3 linked regions of the Caenorhabditis elegans genome follow. The protein of the gene in region 2 purifies or fractionates together with the protein of the main gene of each other region. This does not show direct contact. Each region holds a gene or a part of one and is shown on either strand. Other genes may lie near its edges.

Region 1 (7,674 bases), on a different chromosome or scaffold from region 2:
TTCTGTAAATCTTATAAAAGCACAGTTTTTTGTTGAAATTTTCAAAATTTTAAAATTCTGAAAAAAAATTTCTTAATATTTTGAACAGGAAATCTGGAAAATCTGAAGTTCTAAAAAAATTTACAAATTATTTTTTCGCCAATTTTCAAAAATTGCAATTTATACTTACTTTTCTTGGTAAAACCAATATTAAATTGCGGGAAGAAATGAGCTTTATAAAAAATTCCGAATTTCTCTCAAATTAGTAAAAATTCCAACAAAAAATGTTTTTTTGAAATTTTTGAAAACATTTTTTCAAAAATATTTTTTTTTTTAAATTCTCAATTCTACCTTCCTATTTTCAGCACAAAAGAGCACGAAATTCGTTCACAATCGGAAAGCCGCGAGTACAGTCAGGCAGTACAGTTGAAAATCGAACGACTTCAGACGGAGCTCAAAATTCTCACAAATTTCAAAATGAATTTCGGCATTCAGCACACCATTTTCACGATGAATTAGGTCAAACTACAGTATCCCCCCCCCCCCCCTCACAAATCGTTGCGGGACCCACATTTTTGCTCAAAATTTCATTTTTCTACCGTCTAACACTTGACTTTTTTTCCCCATAATACCGATTTGTTCGTTTCTGTTGTTATCAAATGCTACAGTCTAGCCACATTTTCTCATTTTACTCCCCTTATATTTGTAAAATTGTTTAGTTTGTTTTTTTTTCGCCTGGAAATCGATTTTTTTGCGAATAGTTGAAAAATTTTGGAAAATTTAGAAAAATTCAGAAATTTTAGTTTTTAGTAATTTTTTTAAAAACTTTTTCAGTCAAAAATACTGAAATTTCCGGAATTTCAAAAAAAAATTATAGAAAAGTTTCTTAAAATTATAGCGTTTTGTTGAAATTCCCGATAAAATTGGTAAATCCTGGAAATTCTAAAAATTAAATTTTTTATCCAAAAAATTCAGCTAAACAGAAAATTGTTTGAACTTTTTAATTAAAAATTCCCGATTTTACAGAAAAAGTCAAAAATTTTGAAAAATCGTGAAAATTCTAAAAATTCGATTTTTTTATCGAACATTTTTTTGAGAATCCCAAAAAAACTGAAAAAAATAAAAATTTTAATTAAAAATTTCAGATTTTAGCGAAAATTCTCAAAAATTTTGGAAAAATAGAAAAAATTTCAACTTTTTGATTAAAACTCCCAGATTTTTGCAAAAATTCTCAAAATTTTGGAAAAAAAACTGAATTTTTTCTCCAAAAAATCCTATTTTTGTTAAAATTCTCGAAATTTTTCGGAAAAATCCTAAAATTTCCAATTTTTATCCAAATTTCCATAAAAATCGATTTCCAGCGACTTTTTATCATTACCTAGTTTTTAGTTTTTTTTTGTTTTGAATATTTTTTTCTTTTTTTTCCTCAGCTCCCAATTTTTAAAAACTATTTTAATTTAATATCGTCAATCCTCTCCTGTCACCATTGTTAATGTTTTTTTTTGAAATTTTAATTAAATTTCTACCATTTTTAATCCATTTTTCTCTATCCGATCGATTTTCCATGAAAATTGGTCCTAAAACGACCTAATGACCTATATTTCTGAATCACCCAGAGGCGGGGGCGGAAACATAGATGAGTATCTCGTAATTCAGAACACGATGACGGCGTACGTTGGACGAGCCTGGACGATGCTTCGTTTTTATACGGATTTCGCATACGCCGGTGTTGCCTATTTGGTTAATTCAAAGGCACATAGGTTGGTTTGTAATTCGGGGTCTTGGCGCGAAAGTTTTTTTTTTCAAAATTTCGGCTTTTTGTGTCGATTTACGAGCTTTTCCAGGCTTTCTCGACGATTTTTTTTTTGAATTTTCATAATTTCGGTTTTGTGCCGATTTACGAGAATGACAAAGAAAATTAGGAATTTCAGCTCTTTGTGTAGTTTTACTAGCTCATTAATTCTTTGGTAAATTTTGCCTCTTTGTGTCGATGTACGAGCTTTTTCAGGATTTTTCCACGAATTTTTTTTTGATCTTTTTCCTGAATTTTCGAAATTTCGGTTTTCTGTCGATTTACGAGAATAGTAGAAAATTAGAAATTCCGGCTTTTTGTGTCGATTTACGAGCTTGTGTTCAGTTATTTTTTAAATTCAAGTCAAAATTTCGGATGCCAGTGTAGATTTACGAGCTCATTTTTTGGTGAATTCTGACTGCTTGTGTCGATTTACGAGGTTTTTTCTGACTTTTAGAAATTGTTGTGTTAATTGATAATATTTTTAAATTATTCAATTTTTAAATAAATAATTTAATTCCTAAATTCTGAAAAAAACCAGTGCTCGTAAATCGACACAGAGATGCGTAAATCTACAATGCCATGATTAAAAAAAAACTATTTTCCAGGATGTATGATATTGTTTCTCATGAATCTGAGAAAAATTGAAAAAAAATTCCGCTCGTAAATCGACATCCAGCTGCGTAAACCTACAATGATACCAAAATTTGTTCCCTAATAAAGACATTTTTTTTTCTGAATTTTCTCTGAATTTTTTAAGAAGACTACTTTTTTTTGAATATTTATTAGTTTTAGGGGGCTTTAAAAAATTTTTAACAAACATTGTAAATTGCCGATTTGCCGGAAATTTTCAATTCCGGCAATTTGCCGGTTTGCCGGAAATTTTCAATTCCGGCAATATACTGATTTGCCGGAAAATTTCAATTCCCGCAATTTGCCGATTTGCCGGAAATTTTCAATTCCGGCAATTTGCCTTTTTGCCGGAAATTTTCAATTCTGGCAATATACTGATTTGCCGGAAAATTTCAATTCCCGCAATTTGCCGATTTGCCGGAAATTTTCAATTCCGGCAATTTGCCTTTTTGCCGGAAATTTTCAATTCTGGCAATTTGCCGGTTTGCCGGAAATTTTCAATTCCCGCAATTTGCCGATTTGCCAGAAATTGCATTGTACTATACAATTGCATTATCAATACATTCTGACTTATCGCCCAAGTCACAAAATTGCAAAATTCCATTGGCTGACACCTAGAAATTGGCAAACATCATCATTTAAGTGTAGCCAACTGACTACAGTGTTCCGAAAATAAGGGAAATTTAGAAAGAGAGAGAGAGATAGACGAAACAAGTCACAGAACGATTATCGATCACTTTTCAGTTGGTTTTCTTTAATTCTTCATAGTTTCCCATTTGAAACAATGTCTCGAAATTCAGTAATTTTTCCGGAAAAAAAGTTAAATCAAATTGGTTGTAAAGTTTTGTATTATTTAAAAAAATTGTGCATTTATTAACAATCAGAACCTGTAAAAGTTGGCAAAAATTGAAAAAAAAGTCTCCGTAAATCGACAGCTAGCTGCGTAAAACAACACTGATTGGAGTAGATTTAGACTAGATTATGACTAGATTTAGGAATTAAAGAATTAAATTATTTAAAATATATCGAAATAACCGAAACTAAAACTGAAATCTATTGCGCAACATAATTGACGCGCAAAATATCTCGTTGCGAAAACTACAGTATCTCTTTAACTGACTAATGTAGCGCTGGTTTTGATTTTCGGGCAATTGCAGTTTCGAATTTACTCTGCAAAAAAAATCACAAATTTTGCATAAAGCACTACACTTTTTTCAAAACTTCTCTGAAAATCTCGAAATTCTTTTTTTCAGAGCCATGCCAAGCCTCACTCACGTGGAGCCCATCGAGAAGCTCTCCGACGCGGTCACCAGAATTCTCGGCCACAATCCCGGCCCCTTCACTCTTCAAGGAACTAATACATATCTACTGGGCACTGGTGCAAAGTAGGCAGCAATATTCTGAAAATTTTTAATTTCTAATCAAATTTTTTCTTTCAGAAAAATCCTCGTGGACACTGGTGAGCCGAACGTCACCGAGTACATTTCGGCACTGAAATCAGTTCTCGCATCTACGAATTCCCACATTGAATATATCGTTATTACGCATTGGCATGGCGATCATGTTGGTGGAATCGATAATATTACTGATGAGATTTTGGATAAAAAGAAGATACCTATTTATAAAATGAAACGGGACAAGGATGAGGGTGTCGAGAGATTTCATTATGTTGACGATGGGTTTGAGGTTGCAGTTGATGGAGCCACGCTGAAGTGAGCATTTATCATTAGAGAATTGGTTTTATTAGAAAAAAACCGTAGTAGTACTGTAGGGATACTGTAGTTCCGCTGTAGGTGCACTGTAGGTATGTACTGTAGCATTAAGGAGGACTAACGGTTCGGACGATTTTGACCGTATAGACCCAAAATGAGCTCAAATGAACGAATTTCGTAATGAAACTGCTCAAAACAATTTTCAAAAATTTTTTATGGCGTTTCAAAATTTTGAAAAAATTGAAAAAATGAATTATCGTCCTTTATTACATATATTGGTAATTAATCTCATTTAATTTCGTCGATTAAGGTACATTTAAAGCCGTTAGGTAACCAAAAATCATCGAAATTGGTTACCTATCGGCTTTAAATGTACTTTAATCCACGAAATTAAATGAGATTAATTGCCAATATATGCAATAAAGGACGATAATTCCAAAAAATCCAACTTCGGACAGATGTGACACGAAAAAATGGGAAAAACTCATGATTTTAGGTAAAATCAGTGTAATTTTTTCAAAATTTTGAACCGCCATAAAAAATGTTTGAAAATTGTTTTGAGCAGTTTCATTACGAAATTCGTTCATTTGAGCTCAATTTGGGTCTATACGTTCAAAATCGTTCGAACCGTTAGTCCTCCTTTAGTAGTACTATAGTGATAGTGTAGGGTTACTGTAGGTATATTATAGGAGTACTGTAATAGTGCCGTAGGGGCACTCTAGTAGTACTATATGGGTAGTGAAGGAGTTTTGTAGAGGTACTGTAGGTATATTTCGGTTGTACTGTAGTAGTATTATAGGGTTACTGTAGGAGTACTTCAGGGGTACTGTAGTGATATTGGGAGGGGTGGGTACTGAAGTAGTGATATTGGGGTACTGTAGTAGTACTGTATTTCTAGAAACAAATTAATTGTGTCTTTTTAAATGAGTAGTGTTGTAGGGGGTACTGCTAGAAATCGATTTTTTGTTGTGAAAATTTGGAAAAAATTGGAATTTTCTGAAATTTCAAATTAAATGCAATTTCAGTTACCATCTGTTATTTTTAAGAATTTTTGATTTTAAATTCCTTTGAAATTTTCTATATTATTTTTTTTTCCGGGACGATTTTTTAAATTCCTAATTTTTGTCGAAAATCTCCGAAAATAATAAGGAAAAAACCTTAACAATTAATGTTCCTCAAAAAATACCTTGAAATCTCAGTTTTTTGTTGAAATTCTCAAAAAAAAAAAGGATCCATATTTTTTTTCAAAAAGGAATTTATGAATACAAAATTTTTTGAACGTTTGTTCCAAAAAAATGTGTTAGTACAGTAGTGCCGTAATGGTAGCAATACTGTAGTAGTAGTAGTACTGTAGGGGTAATGTAGGGACATTGTAGTAGTATTATAGGGGTACTGTAGTGGTACTACGGAGGTACTGTAGAAGTTCCGAAGGTGTGCTGCATTAGTACTGTAGGGGTACAGTAGTACAGTAGTACTGTAAGTGTACTGGTACTATAGCTATTTTGTACGTGTACTGTAGGTATATTGTAGTTGCACTATAGTATTATTATAGGGGGTACTGTAGTGGTATTGTACAAGGCTGGGATTTTTTTTTGAATTTTTTTGCCATTGTAACGAAAAATTGATTTTTTTGTTTGTTTTTTTAAGACCGAAAAACCAAAAAAAAATGCATTTTTCACGGTAAAAAAATTAATTCAAGTATCAAATTTTTTGTTGGTTTTTTTTTGATTTTTCCCAAATTTCAATTTTTCTTGGTCCAAAATCAAAACGAAACACTTATTGTTTTTTGATCCCAGCCCTGAAACTGTGGTATTAACTGTAGTAGCATAGCTCTTTTTCAAAAAAATTGAATTGCCATGAGAAATTTTTTTTTGGAAATTTCAAGATATATCAATTTAGCCTTTCTTCGAGTTATTTTAAAAGTGGTGTAGTCGAATTTTTTTAAATTTCTTTATTGGACTCAAAATTGTCTGAAAACACCGAATTTCATAATGAAACTTCTTGAAAACTTTTCAAAAAAAAGTTATGGCCTCTTGAAAAATGGCCTAAAATTAGTGAAAATTTGAAATTTGACCGACTTATCATTGTCGCAGCGGCTGGAAACAATTTTTTTTTGAAATTGTCGTCTAATTTTGGGTATACAGGTCGATTATCTTGCATTTTCAGCTTTATTAAGGTATTTGAAAGTCGATGGACGAAGAGAATTGATGAAAAAAATTTGACAAATCTCTTCGTCCATCGACTTTCAAATACCTTAATAAAGCTGAAAACGCAAGATAATCGACCTGTATAGCCAAAATTAGACGACAATTTCAAAAAAAAATTGTTTCCAGCCGCTGCGACAATGATAAGTCGGTCAAATTTCAAATTTTCACTAATTTTAGGCCATTTTTCAAGAGGCCATAACTTTTTTTTGAAAAGTTTTCAAGAAGTTTCATTATGAAATTCGGTGTTTTCAGACAATTTTGAGTCCAATAAAGAAATTAAAAAAAATTCGACTACACCACCTTTAAAATAACTCGAAGAAAGGCTAAATTGATATATCTTGAAATTTCCAAAAAAAAATTTCTCATGGCAATTCAATTTTTTGAAAAAGAGCTATGCTACTACAGTTAATACCACAGTTTCAGGGCTGGGATCAAAAAACAAAAATTCGGTGTTTTCAGACAATTTTGAGTCCAATAAAGAAATTAAAAAAAATTCGACTACACCACCTTTAAGCTAGTCCATCTTTAAACATTAAATTTCCAGACTAATCGCCACTCCAGGCCACACCGCCGATCACTTCTCTCTGTGGCTCCAAGAGGAACGAGCATTGTTCAGTGGAGACTGCATCCTCGGCGAGGGAACTACCGTCTTCGAGGATCTTCATGACTATATGACTTCACTGCAAAAGATCAAGGATCTCAATGCGACAAGGATTTATCCGGGTCATGGTCCGGTTATCGATAAGGTCGTGGAGAAGGTTGACGAGTACATCGAGCACCGAATGAAACGAGAACGCGAGATTATCAAAGTGCTCAAAGAGCACGAGGAGATCACCAGTATGGATGTGACTAATCAGGTTTATGCTGACTCGCCGTGGGCTGTACGACTGGCTGCGTTGAACAATGTGAAGCTCGTGCTGAAGAAGCTTTGCAAGGATGGAGTCGTTGAGAATCCGCATTTTGAGACTTTCAAGTGGATTGGAGGCAGTAGTAGTGGAGAGGAGAAGAAGAATGAATCGTCGAATTTGTAGAAAAAAAAAATTATTTTTTGGAATTTTAAATATTTAATTCGCTCTTTATGTGTTTTCAAAATGTAGAATTTACGATGTTAATTCGAACTTTTCATAGATTAAATTTAAGTTTTAACCTACCTATATTTGAGAATTCCAAAAAATCTCGAAAATATTCATTTTTTAAATTCGAAAACCATATTTTTTCGAATTAAAAAATTCAAACTTCTGGAAAAAATTTGAAATTTTTAATTTTTTTTGTTTGATTTTTCAAAAAATTTCCGGAAAATTAATTTCAGTACCAATTTTTTCAAAATTTCGAGTATTTTTCGAATATCTCG
Region 2 (5,981 bases):
CTCGCCACGATCTCCGTAATTTTGATTTTTGAAATTATGCAGTTTTAGCTTTAAAATACGGTGAACGGTCTCGACACGAAATTGTTTTGTTAAACGCGAAGAGTTGTGCGCCTTTAAGCAGTACTGTAATGTCTAAATTTCGTTTTCGCAAAATTTTTATCGATTTTGAATTGTTTTTCTCAAGATTTGTTAAAATTTAAGTTTTCTTTTCATTTGAGCTTTCTAAAAAAAAAGATAAATTTAAAAATCGATGAAAACTCCGCGGAAACAATAGTTTGAAACTACAGTACCCTTTAAAGGCGCAGATCTTTTTGCATTGAACAAACATTTGTCTTGTCGAGACCTGGTACCGTATTTTAAAATCCCGCATTACTCTCCTGAAGCCTTATGTCAATGGACTCTGATCATGGAATAATTAAAGAAAAAAAGCGATCAAAGTCGAAACAAAACACAAATGTTCTTGACGGCGACGACAAAAAGACAAAAAGGCGCTAATCCTTCAATAAATTTGCTGATAAAAGTAAGAGAATCATCATTGCATTGTTGCAATGCTTCAATAACTCCAATGTTTATTTTTGGAATCAAGACGAAAATTTGTTGGAAAAAAAGGAAAAATGGGGGAGGTGAAGTATTTTGTAAGGAAAAAGAGCCATGTTAAAAAAATTCTGAAACAATACAATAGGTCATGGGGGGGGGACGTGGATAAAGGAACACGAAAATATTGTATAAGACAAGAACACTTGTAAATAGAGTGCTACTTTTTATATGTAAAATTAGCTTTTCTGTGCTTTCGCTGAAAACGCGAAGAAATCGTGGGAACAGGTGAAAAAAGTTTGATTGAGTATCTATTAAATCTTAATGTACATGGGATGGTAATTGGGTGAAATATTATGATTGTGTGCATTTATCGCGAACATGATATGGTGCAACAGGATCCATTGCAGGTGGAAGAGGACTTGGAGCATCCCGACAATTCGTTTTAACTTTTTCGATTTCGTTTTTAAGCATACGATAGTCTCCTTCAAATGTGAAACGTCTGTCATATTGATCCATGCTCTTCGTAATGTGTGGAATAGACAGTACATGGCTCAAGAAATTTGGAGCGAATTTTAAAGCACATTTGCAGAATCTGCAGTTATCCTATAAATACATTTATTAATAAAAAAATATTTTTATTTAAGAAATCACCGGTAGCTCCCATTGGTTACAAATGTTGTGAAGTTGATCGCGTTGCCGTTTCTCCAATTTCACATAATCCGTGCGGAGTATTGAAGCGAACTCGAGTGCAATTATTTCTGGAAAAATGAATAAAATTAAAAATATTACACAGATACAAAATTTTGCGATTTTTGCGCGAAAAATACGATACCCGGTCTTGACACGAAATTGTTTGTATTTACAAACGCATGTGAACCTTTAAAGAGTACTGTAATTTCAAACTTTCATTGTTTTTCGTATTACTAAATAGAAAAACTAAAATAAAACAATTGAAATCACCTAAACGAGATTTTTTCAAAGTTTTTCTCAGCAACGAAAGTTTTCAATTACAGTACTCCTTAAAGGTGCACACACATACGTCCAAATTTTACAAAAAATATAAATTTTAAATTCCCAATTTCCCAATTTCACTAACTTTTCAAACTGGTTTTCTTCTTGTCTTCATCTCCATAATAAAATGGTAGACTCCTTTTCCCAACCGTCAGCCTTTTCTCATCACTGGATCGAATATTTCCTTTTGAACGAAGAACATATTCATCATTTCGTTTTTTCGGAGGAGGTGGCTCCTGTAATAATTTTGAGAATACTGGAAAATGAATAATGATTATAAATACCGGTCCATATGGTACCATATCGGACATTTCTTGCGAATCAGTGTTTATTTCTCCCGGTTCGGGTCCCGAATTTCCAGACAAACATCTTTTTCTTGCTTCTTTTTGTTGTTCTAGTGGGCGATTCTAAATATTTTGAAATATTATTTATTAAGGGAACACTCAATTCCGAGAATGCGTGTTGCGCAACATATTATTTGACGCGCAAAATATCTCGGAGCGAAAACTACAGTAACTCTTTAAATGACTACTGTAGCGCTTGTGTCGATTTACGGAAATCATTTATTAATCGGTAAAATATTGAAAGAATACATAGAGAAAGCACGAAAAACTAAAGAAAATTGAGAAAATCAAATATGCTGCGTAATAGGCATTCTCAGAATTTAGTGCTCAAGTAATATTATTTAGTTTCCAGAAATAATTACCGTATTTCCTCTATTAGTATTGCATGCATGACTAATTTTCGAAGATCCAATAGCTTTGTAAAGTTGATCATTTATCGTCAAAAATTTGGCTTGAAACAGTCTAAATCGTGCAAAATACATGCTTTTCTATTGTTTTATCAATTACTTGAACACTTTAAAATTTATTTTAACTAAAAAATGGCGAAATTTTTGAAGTTTTTTTTTTTTTTTAATGGCGTCTAAATCTTGCTGAGCAAAAAACTGCCGTATTACACTTTGGTAAAAAGAACCCCCGTCATAAATACTTTGTAAATAGTGTTGAAATTAAACCGCGTGATTCTATCAGAGATCTCGGAATCATTGTCGATACCAAATTATCATTTGTAAATCATATTAATCAGACTTCTAATAGTGCCCTCCTTAAGTGTCGCCAAATCCTTCGCTCATTCCGCTCTAAAAGTCCCGAATTCTATTTTAAACTGTTCAATGTTTACATCCGCCCCGTACTCGAATATGGCTGCGAGCTCTTCCCGCCCAACTCCACCGAACTTGCCAAAAAACTAGAATCTCCCCTCCGGTTTTTCTCAAAGTGTGTCTTTCAAAGGTGCAATTTATCTTACTCGTCATACAGCAGCAGGCTTTCACAATTTAATTTATTGTCTACTCACCACAGACGGGTTCTTCAAATCCTCCGAACCTTCCATAAAATTATTTCAAGCGAGTATCACTTCCCGTCCTTATCATCGTTTGTTCGAGCTTCACGCTCTACTCGTCACCCCTATCTACTTGTTATCTGTGGTGTCCCGTCTAAATTTTTTTTACATGTTAACTTGTCGTTGTGGAATCGAATAGCAAAACGTTTCCCTCAATTGTTAACTCCAAATGCATTTGCGTCGCGCCTAGGCTCTATTCCATTCGACACCCTCTTCCCCTCAACTTGACCTCCCGGGCTATAGCTGGTCCAACTGGTCATTTTACTTATTTGTCCACACATCATTTTATTTACTTTTTTTTAATCTTCCGGTGTAGCTCTTTCTTGTGACAAATAAACAATTATTATTATTTTCACAAAATACTGCTGGTCTGGCAGGAATAGGGGTGCAAGACTATCACCGTATTTCCTCTATTAGTCTTGCATGCAATACTAATAGAGGCTGCAAGACTAATTTTCGATTGGTCCGTAGGGGTGCAAGACTAATAGAGGCTGCCGGACTAATAGAGGAAATACGGTAAGTATCTTTTCTGAAAAAAAACATACCGGGCGGTACAGATTGGTTCCTAGAATCCACTGCGCTTGTACTTTGTCTATCACAGTTATAACCATATTCATTTCGATTTTCATAATTTCCATTCCTGTTTCTGGCATCGGTTGGTTCCAGATCTCTCGGATTCACTTTCCTTGGTAATTTAAGTGGATCTCTATCGAGTTGTCTTTTATTAGATTTCGGTTTAATTGAGAATCCACGAAAATTAAAATCTTCGAGTTTCGTCGGAATCGGTGCTTCTTCTCCATATCTCGCTTTCATCTCACCCAATGTAGTTTCATATGTGAATAAATTCCCAATTCGTTGTCCATTGTCAGTGAATCTCATTTGATGATTGTCCGAGAAATATCCTTTCTGGTACCAATCAAGCACAGTTGAGGCTCCGTATGGTCCTCTGAAAAATGAAATTACTTAAAACTTCATAAAAGAATAGAAAACCTACTGTACTGTACCACGATCGTCAGTGTAGAACACAGTTATATCGTCGTCTATGTCTTCCATCTCCATTCTGAAATAAATATTATTATTTGAAACATAGTTATTATTCTTTGAATTCATAAAATTCAAAGAGGTTTTCTAAATTACTTCGTATAACAAAAAGCAATGGTGTCGGCTTTTTGATTTTATTTTTCGAAAGTCAAAAATATTATTTTTTTATAAACTTTTTAACTTTTTTAAAATTAACTTTTTTTTGGTTTTTGGAAGAAAAATTTGAAAATTATATGAAAAAATACGGATAAATCAAAAAATTTTCAAAGAAGAAACGAATAGTCAGATAATATTTCTGCAAGAAAAAATGTTAAAAACTGGGTCTATTGGAATGATACAATTTTATCCCCATAAGCACACAACGGCTTTAAAAAATTGCATTAAATTACCTAATTGTTCATTAAAATATAATTTCCAAAAAATGAAATCGCAGAAAATCTGAACTATTTTTTAAAAAAATTGAGATGAGTTTTCTCAGAAATCCTACAACGAATGGTAAGTACAGCATATTAGTTCTTAAAACTGGCTTCCTTCGGAAGAAAATATCAAAGATATAAAAAAGTGTAAAGTATACACTATATTCGAAATTATATAAACGATACAATTCCAAAAAAGTTTATATTATAGAAGAAAAATAAATTACTTTACAAGAAAAAGAAACGAATACATAGGAATTTCTATGACACAAGATTAATAAAAGCGAATTGAGATCCTATAAAACACGATAAAATATTATATATTAGTCAATATAGATTATTTCAGGTGAATGCACCTTTTTCGAAGAGCCTCCGTCAATTACATCTTCAATTGTTTGTTTCTGTGGAGTTGCCGAAGCCAGAAAACGCACCCAAGTTCCAACATGGACATCTTGATAACGCAAGTGGTTAATCTGAAATTATTTAGAATTATTGGAAGACGGCAGAACGGCGAAACATTCAATTAAAATTACCTTCATTCTGAGTTGAATGCTTCCCACGTGACGGCACATTTCAAAAAATGAAATAAATTTTATGTTGCAGAAAGTGCACTCATTCTGAAATAATTGAGTAAAATTACAATACTTTCGAAAGCAACATACGTGATTCTTGAATAGTTTTCCAACCCTCCTCGATAAGATATTCGCGTCAACCTTGGTCATGAGATTTTCGACGACTTGAGAGAGGAAGTTTCCGGTTCGCTTTTGCTCTGAATTAGAATTCTTGCTCCTAACTTTGTTTTTACTTGGCCTATTCGCTTTCATTGACGAATATTCAACAGCTGCCTTAATATCGATCACTGCACCAATGACGGCTTTGATCTGCTCGAGGTCTGATTTATTTAAATTATTTCCATTAACAACGGAACTTTTTTAATCGTACTCGGTTTCTTAACGAATCCCTTCGATCGATTGATGAATTCGCCGACCGTTTCCGAGAAGTTCACATTTGTATCAGGGTTGAAACCTGGTAGGATCAGAGCTGAAATCAAAAGTAAAACAAAAGAACGTAAACTGAGCTTTACCATTTGAAGGCGCCTGCTCGATTACACTGTTCACTTTATAAATCCAGAAATCGACGTCATTCTCTGAGAACAAGCAGTTCTATAACTTAAGATGTTGGATAGTGATCAGATGAGCAAACATAGCTGATCCCATCAAATCGATTCCGCACAGTTGGCAGCAAACTGTTTCTGATGTGTACGGAGGAAATTTCTTCAACGAGTCCGGAACGGTAATAATCAGCTGATAGAGAACGAATAGTTTTCCTTGAGCTTTCTCTGTAATTCACAATATCTTTTAAGTAAACGTGTTTTTCTACAAACCAGGATTAATGATTGGAAAACGGAAATCGGGTTTACGCATGAGAGGTGGTGAAGAGTAATGTTCAGGGTGGTAATTACTGAAATGATGTTTTTAAAATAAGTAACAAAAAAAGCTTCTAACTTCACACTCCGAGACAGCAATTCTCCCAAACTGGGGGCGTTCTGACCGGAATCTTCGTTTTCTTGTTCGAGAA
Region 3 (5,565 bases), on a different chromosome or scaffold from region 2:
CGAACAAACCTTTTGTTAAACAGTGAAAATCGTATTTAAAATGACTAAAATTAACTTTTTTCGTCCACTGGTTGAGAAATGGTTTGAAATTTAAAAAAAATCAACAGGATTTTTCTTATTTTCTAAATATTTTCCTATTGAAAATCGTTTTTAACACATTTTTGACTATAACTAGGATCGCAAATGTTTAGGGTCATTAATGTTTAAAACCCGATGTTTAATTGAAAAATATTTAGAAAATTAGAAAAATCCTGTTGATTTTTTTTTAACCTTTTCTCAACCAGTGGACGAAAAAATTTCATTTTAGTAATTTTAAATTCGATTTTCATTGTTTAACAAAAGGCTTGATCGTAAATGCAGAAAAAATTATTAAAGCTCAAAATTTGATAAATCTGAAAAATCTGCAATTTTCAGTGGAACGGCAAAACACCGCGGATGCAGAAACGCGAAACGTAGCAAGCGCGCTCTAATAATTATTCGATTTTGAGGAGAGCGTGCCCTAGTTTATTTGTTGATTTTCCTAGAATTTTCTATCAAAAGTAGAAGTGATGTTAATTGTATATGAAGCTTGAAAAATTGACTAATGATACAGTACCTTTGAACGGCAAAATAGCGATATATGAAGTTGATTGCTATAGCGTAAATACTTGTTCCAAAAAATGCCACTCCGGAAACTGAAAAAAATGATTAAAAAATCAAAATTGCTTCTTTTTAAATTTCAATTTAAAAGACAGTTCTCTCACCAACAGTGAACTTCAAGACATCTGGATGATTCTCTAGCATATTACTCTTCAAATCCACAAGAATAACTACAGTTGAGTCGTCATTAAACATGTACTGAAAGTAATCATTCAAAAAAAAAACGCTTCAACACTGACAACTTACGGGTGCTGCAACAAAATGAAATGCTGCATATGCAATTGACAAGCCTGAGCAGTATATCAGCAAATACTTGTAGCTTCCCATTTTCCGCGGTGAACTTGTAACTACAAGGGTAATCAGAATGAAATTTACCACAACAGACAGTACTGCGGCAATTGGCTGAGTTATTGATTTTATTAAGGAAAACGTTCTCATTTCCAAATGTGAAATTTAACCGGAGAAAGCCACGGAGCAAGTTATTTGGAGAAAGTGTTTCTGGAAGTTAGAAGTTATTTGAAATTTAAAAAAATAAAGAAAGCCGATTTGTTTCATATATATATAGAGTTTATAATTATAGTTTGCAATTTAGAAGAATGATTCATTTTATACTTCCTTGTTCCTTGTAATTGCAGTTTGTATATGATTCTCGTTTGATGTGTCGCAGGTGCTAAACTGCGTGTCTGGTTCTTCAAATTACACCTGCGACTGACCAAACGCAAATCATCTGTGTGATATCGACTTATAATATGCAGGGTGGTTTATCCGAAAATTTGGAGTATTAGAGCTTTGCGAGCCCAGAGGACAGGGAAACGTATTTTGTGCCAAGTATGACGATTTGGTCGAAAGAGCCCATCTGTGCATTGACCAGGAAACGGGCGGCGGCGAGGGCTCCAAAACAGGCTTCGCCCAGTTCCGACTCCTCTGAAGCGACTTCTTCAATTGTCTATAACAATGACACTGGACCACTCGAATTTATCGAAAGTACTTGATGGCCGAGATTTTTTGGTTGTGGAAGAGTTTTCTAGAACTGGTGACATAGAAATCTTTCATTTTTTCAATCAAAACTAATTTTTGATGAGTGATTTTAGATGCAAAACTAATAGAGGCGCCTTACTAATAGAGGATATACGGTATCCTATCCTATTTTCTCTATAATAGCGCTGCAAAAATAATGTTCCAATGCACCAATTAAAAACTAGTACTCAGTGTCCCCATTCAGGTTGTGTTTGTCAAAGTAAAATATTGTTTTCCCTCAATCTTTGATCGGTCTAGTTTCGTCGAAACACGCGTGTTTTTTTCTCTAAATCTCTTCATGCTTACCCATGTCTAATCTATGTTGATGACAATTCAAATTGGTATAAAAGTAGAGGCCATTAGACCTAAACGATAAGAGCTCGTACGATGGCCGTGCCACAACTTTACTACTTCACTATTCGAGGTAAGAAATTTTAAAGTTTTGCATTTTTGGAAAGCTCAATATTTTTCAGGATTCGGAGAATACATCCGTCTTCTGTTCCTCGACAATGGTATCAAATTCGAAGACATTCGGTTCGACTACGAGGGGAATGAATGGCAAGAGTTTAAAAAAGGAATGCTCCTTGGTCAGTTGCCATGCTTGAAGGTGGACGGGCAAGAGATTGTGCAGACTGGAGCAATTATGCGTCATTTGGGAAGAGTTCATGGTAAGGAGATTTGGCGGGAAATTCGAATTTTTTCAGGAAAGATTGTTGGCGGGATATTCAAATTTTCTCTGATAATATTTTGGGGGAAATTTCAATTTTTTCGGAAAACATTTAGTGGGAAATTCAAATTTTCACAACAGGAAGTATTTTTGGCGGGAAGTTAGAAAAATTTTCAGGTCAAATTTTTGAGGGAAATTCAATTATTCTGAGAAAAATATTTGGCGAAAATTTCAATTTTTTTCAGAAAACATTTCAAATTTTATAAGGATCAATTTTGGCGGGAAATTCAATATTTACGGAAAAAAAACAATTTAGCGGGATATTCAAATTTTTAGTACAAACAATTTCTGGCGGGGAACTCAAATTTTATGCAAAAAATTAGGCTAGAAATTCAACTTATCTCATAGTCAGAAAAAAAATAATTTTGCGGGAAATTCAAATTTTCTGAGATAAACATTTGGCAAAAATTTTATGTTTTTTAGAAAAAAAATTCCAGTTTATCGGGAAAACATTTGGCGAAAAATTTCAATTCTTTCAGAAAAAATACAATTTTGGCGGGATTATCTCTGAAAAATTTTAGCGCGGAATCCAAATATTTGAGGAAGATTTTCTTCAGTCAATTCAAATGTTCTGAAAAAAACTTTAAGCGGAAAAATACATTTTTCTTTAATTTTTTTTTTTCGTAATTTCAATTTTTCCAAAAAAAAAAAACTTTGCGACAAGAAATTCAAATTTTTGAGAAAGATTTTGGCGGGAACTTCAAATAATCTCATTGAAAACATTGGCGAGAAATTTTAGTTGATTCAGAAAATAATTTTGGTCGGAAATTACAATTTTCTGATAAAAATTTGGGCGGGAAATTAAAATTTTTCTATTTATATCATATATATATCAGGTTGTCCCATAAGTTTTTGTACTATTTTTTTTTTGAAAAAAATTTATTTCTCTCAAGCGACAAGTAGTACTATTCACACAAGTATTCACCATTAGTGTCCACCACTTGTTGCCATTTACTAGGTAACATCATGATGCCACGGGAGAAGAAATCCGGCGAACGCGATGAGAAGAAAGTGGAGAGTTCAGTTTTGAGATGCTCTTCGTCGTCGAATTGCTTGTCGCGCATGTAGTCACTGAGAGACAAGAACAAATGGTAGTCGGTTGGTGCAAGATCTGGAGAATATGGTGGATGCGGTAAAACAGTCCAACCAAGATCTTGCAGCTTCTGGAAAGTCTTCTTGGCGACATGAGGCCTAGCATTATCGTGAAGAAAATATAGTTTTTCATATTTTCCGTTGGTCTTTTCTGCAACTCGGTCCAATTGGGCACAATAGTAATCAGCAGTGATAGTTTTATTAGTTGGCAACAATTCCCAGTGCACGGGTCCTTGAACACCCCACCAGACACAGATCATAATCTTTTTTGGGTGAAGATCAGGCTTTGGCGTCGGTATTCCTTTCTCACCGATCGGAAGCCATTGACGTTTTCTGGAATGGTTAACATAGAGCACCCACTTCTCATCTCCAGTAACCAGATTGTTCAGCCAATCGAACTTTCGACGAAAAGTTAGAAGTTGAGTACAAACGTTGACCCGAGTGAGCTTCTGTGATGCCGAAAGTTCATGAGGCACCCAAATTCCAAGTTTTGAAGTAAAACCAAGGCGACCCAAGTGACGTGCAATTGTGCTATGACAACACTCAAGCTTCTCTTCCATTTCACGAAGACTAAGACGAGGCTCTTCCTCCACCAGCTTCACTAGGTCTTCTTCATTTAACTCTACCGGTCGCCCAGAACGTTCTATTTCTTCGAGACTGAAGTCGCCGTTCTTGAACTTTTGAAACCAACTCTTTGCTGTATTATAAGAGAGTGCTCCCTCACCCATCGCACCGCATATGTTTCGTTCCGCTTCCATTGCTGAATGACCAAGACGAAATTCATAAAGAAGAAGCAATCTAACGTCTCGACGTTCAAGTTTGATGATTGTCATCGTGGCAAAGTAGAAATGGATGAAATGAATTTTTTCTGAAAGGGGAAGACCCGACCTTGACACGACCTACGATGAAAAAATTTTTAAACTTTCTAGAAGTTTTGGAAAAATATTTGAAAAAAAGTACAAAAACTTATGGGACAACCTGATATATATAGTGTATTATGACGTCACAGATCTATTTTATGTAATTAAAAATTTCAGGCTTGAACGGATCCAACGAGCAAGAGGCAACCTTCCTCGACATGTTCTTCGAGGGAGTCCGCGATGTTCGTATGAAATACGTCCGTTACATTTACTACGACGAGGGAACCCGCGAGGATTGTGTCAACAAAACCATCCCGGAGGCTCTAGTGAAGTTGGAAGAGCTTTTCAAAGCTCATTCCGGAGACTTCATCATTGGAAACAAGATTAGTTATGCGGACTATATTCTCTTCGAGGAGTTGGACGTCTACCACGTTTTGGATGCGAATATCCTAGACAAATTCCCAACTCTGAAGTCGTTCTGGGAAAGAATGTGGAAGAGACCGAATTTGAACGCGTATCTCGAAAAGAGAAAGGCCGACAAAGTCTGGATCAACGCGATTGAGAAGGGAATGAACTGATTGCTTTAAAAATGCAAATGTTTTTTTTTTCGAATCTATGTTGACAAATAAATGGATATTATTTTAAAAAGCAACTTACGGGAGTAGCTTTTGTGAATTTTTTGCCCTATATATGAGAAAAAAATCTTCAAAAATTTATGGCGTTTTTCAAAAACTTTTATGCTTTTTTTTTCAATTTTCCAGACAATTAGAAAGGGCCAAGCTCTGGATATATTTTTATTTTTGTTTCTCAGTTTGGAGTTTTTGTCGTAGAGGCTCAAAATTAATGCAGTTCGAAAATTTATTTTTGAGAAGGCATTTTAATTTGCTCACCTGAATTAACAGTTTTTTGCAAAAAATTTTTTTTGGAATTTTGGTAGAATTCTTATCGGGTGCGGTAGATAATTTTTTTTAATACTATGGGTACGTTTCTGGGTCTAGAAATTCGATTTTGGCAACGCTACAGTCATATGCCTGTAAAAAATGAATTGGAAACCAAAACCCCTCTAGCGCGGCCAAAATCGAATATCTAGACCCAGAAACGTACCCATAATAATTAAAAAAAAATTATCTACCGCACCCGATAAGAATTCTACCAAAATTCCAAAATTTTTCTAGTTACCGAATCCGAAATCTAGTTAGTACCTGTTGAAATTGAATTCAAAGTAAAAAC

Evidence for each region.
Region 1: the proteins of K11H3.8 (region 2) and Y53F4B.39 fractionate together in Caenorhabditis elegans (co-fractionation; one large-scale study listed by BioGRID). This does not show direct contact.
Region 3: the proteins of K11H3.8 (region 2) and gst-10 fractionate together in Caenorhabditis elegans (co-fractionation; one large-scale study listed by BioGRID). This does not show direct contact.

The regions. Positions count from the first base shown.
Region 1 is NC_003280.10:15,108,511-15,116,184, forward strand, and holds the start of Y53F4B.39 (Beta-lactamase-like protein 2 homolog), read left to right. Parts: upstream 1-1,633; 5' UTR 1,634-1,641; coding exon 1,642-1,739; intron 1,740-3,657; coding exon 3,658-3,789; intron 3,790-3,843; coding exon 3,844-4,116; intron 4,117-6,867; coding exon 6,868-7,354; 3' UTR 7,355-7,674. Other genes in the region: wshc-4 (HEPN_LA2681 domain-containing protein), read left to right, coding at 345-498.
Region 2 is NC_003281.10:9,833,219-9,839,199, reverse strand, and holds K11H3.8 (GYF domain-containing protein), read right to left. Parts: upstream 4,007-5,981; 5' UTR 4,006-4,006; coding exon 3,941-4,005; intron 3,893-3,940; coding exon 3,492-3,892; intron 1,956-3,491; coding exon of another isoform or gene 1,833-1,955; intron 1,785-1,832; coding exon of another isoform or gene 1,634-1,784; intron 1,296-1,633; coding exon 1,189-1,295; intron 1,141-1,188; coding exon 889-1,140; 3' UTR 553-888; downstream 1-552.
Region 3 is NC_003283.11:2,559,663-2,565,227, forward strand, and holds gst-10 (Glutathione S-transferase P 10), read left to right. Parts: upstream 1-2,027; 5' UTR 2,028-2,043; coding exon 2,044-2,080; intron 2,081-2,129; coding exon 2,130-2,324; intron 2,325-4,512; coding exon 4,513-4,913; 3' UTR 4,914-4,983; downstream 4,984-5,565. Other genes in the region: str-154 (Serpentine receptor class r-10), read right to left, coding at 596-674, 744-837, 886-1,077. UniProt on the Caenorhabditis elegans protein: Conjugation of reduced glutathione to a wide number of exogenous and endogenous hydrophobic electrophiles. Responsible for approximately one-third of 4-hydroxy-2-nonenal conjugation.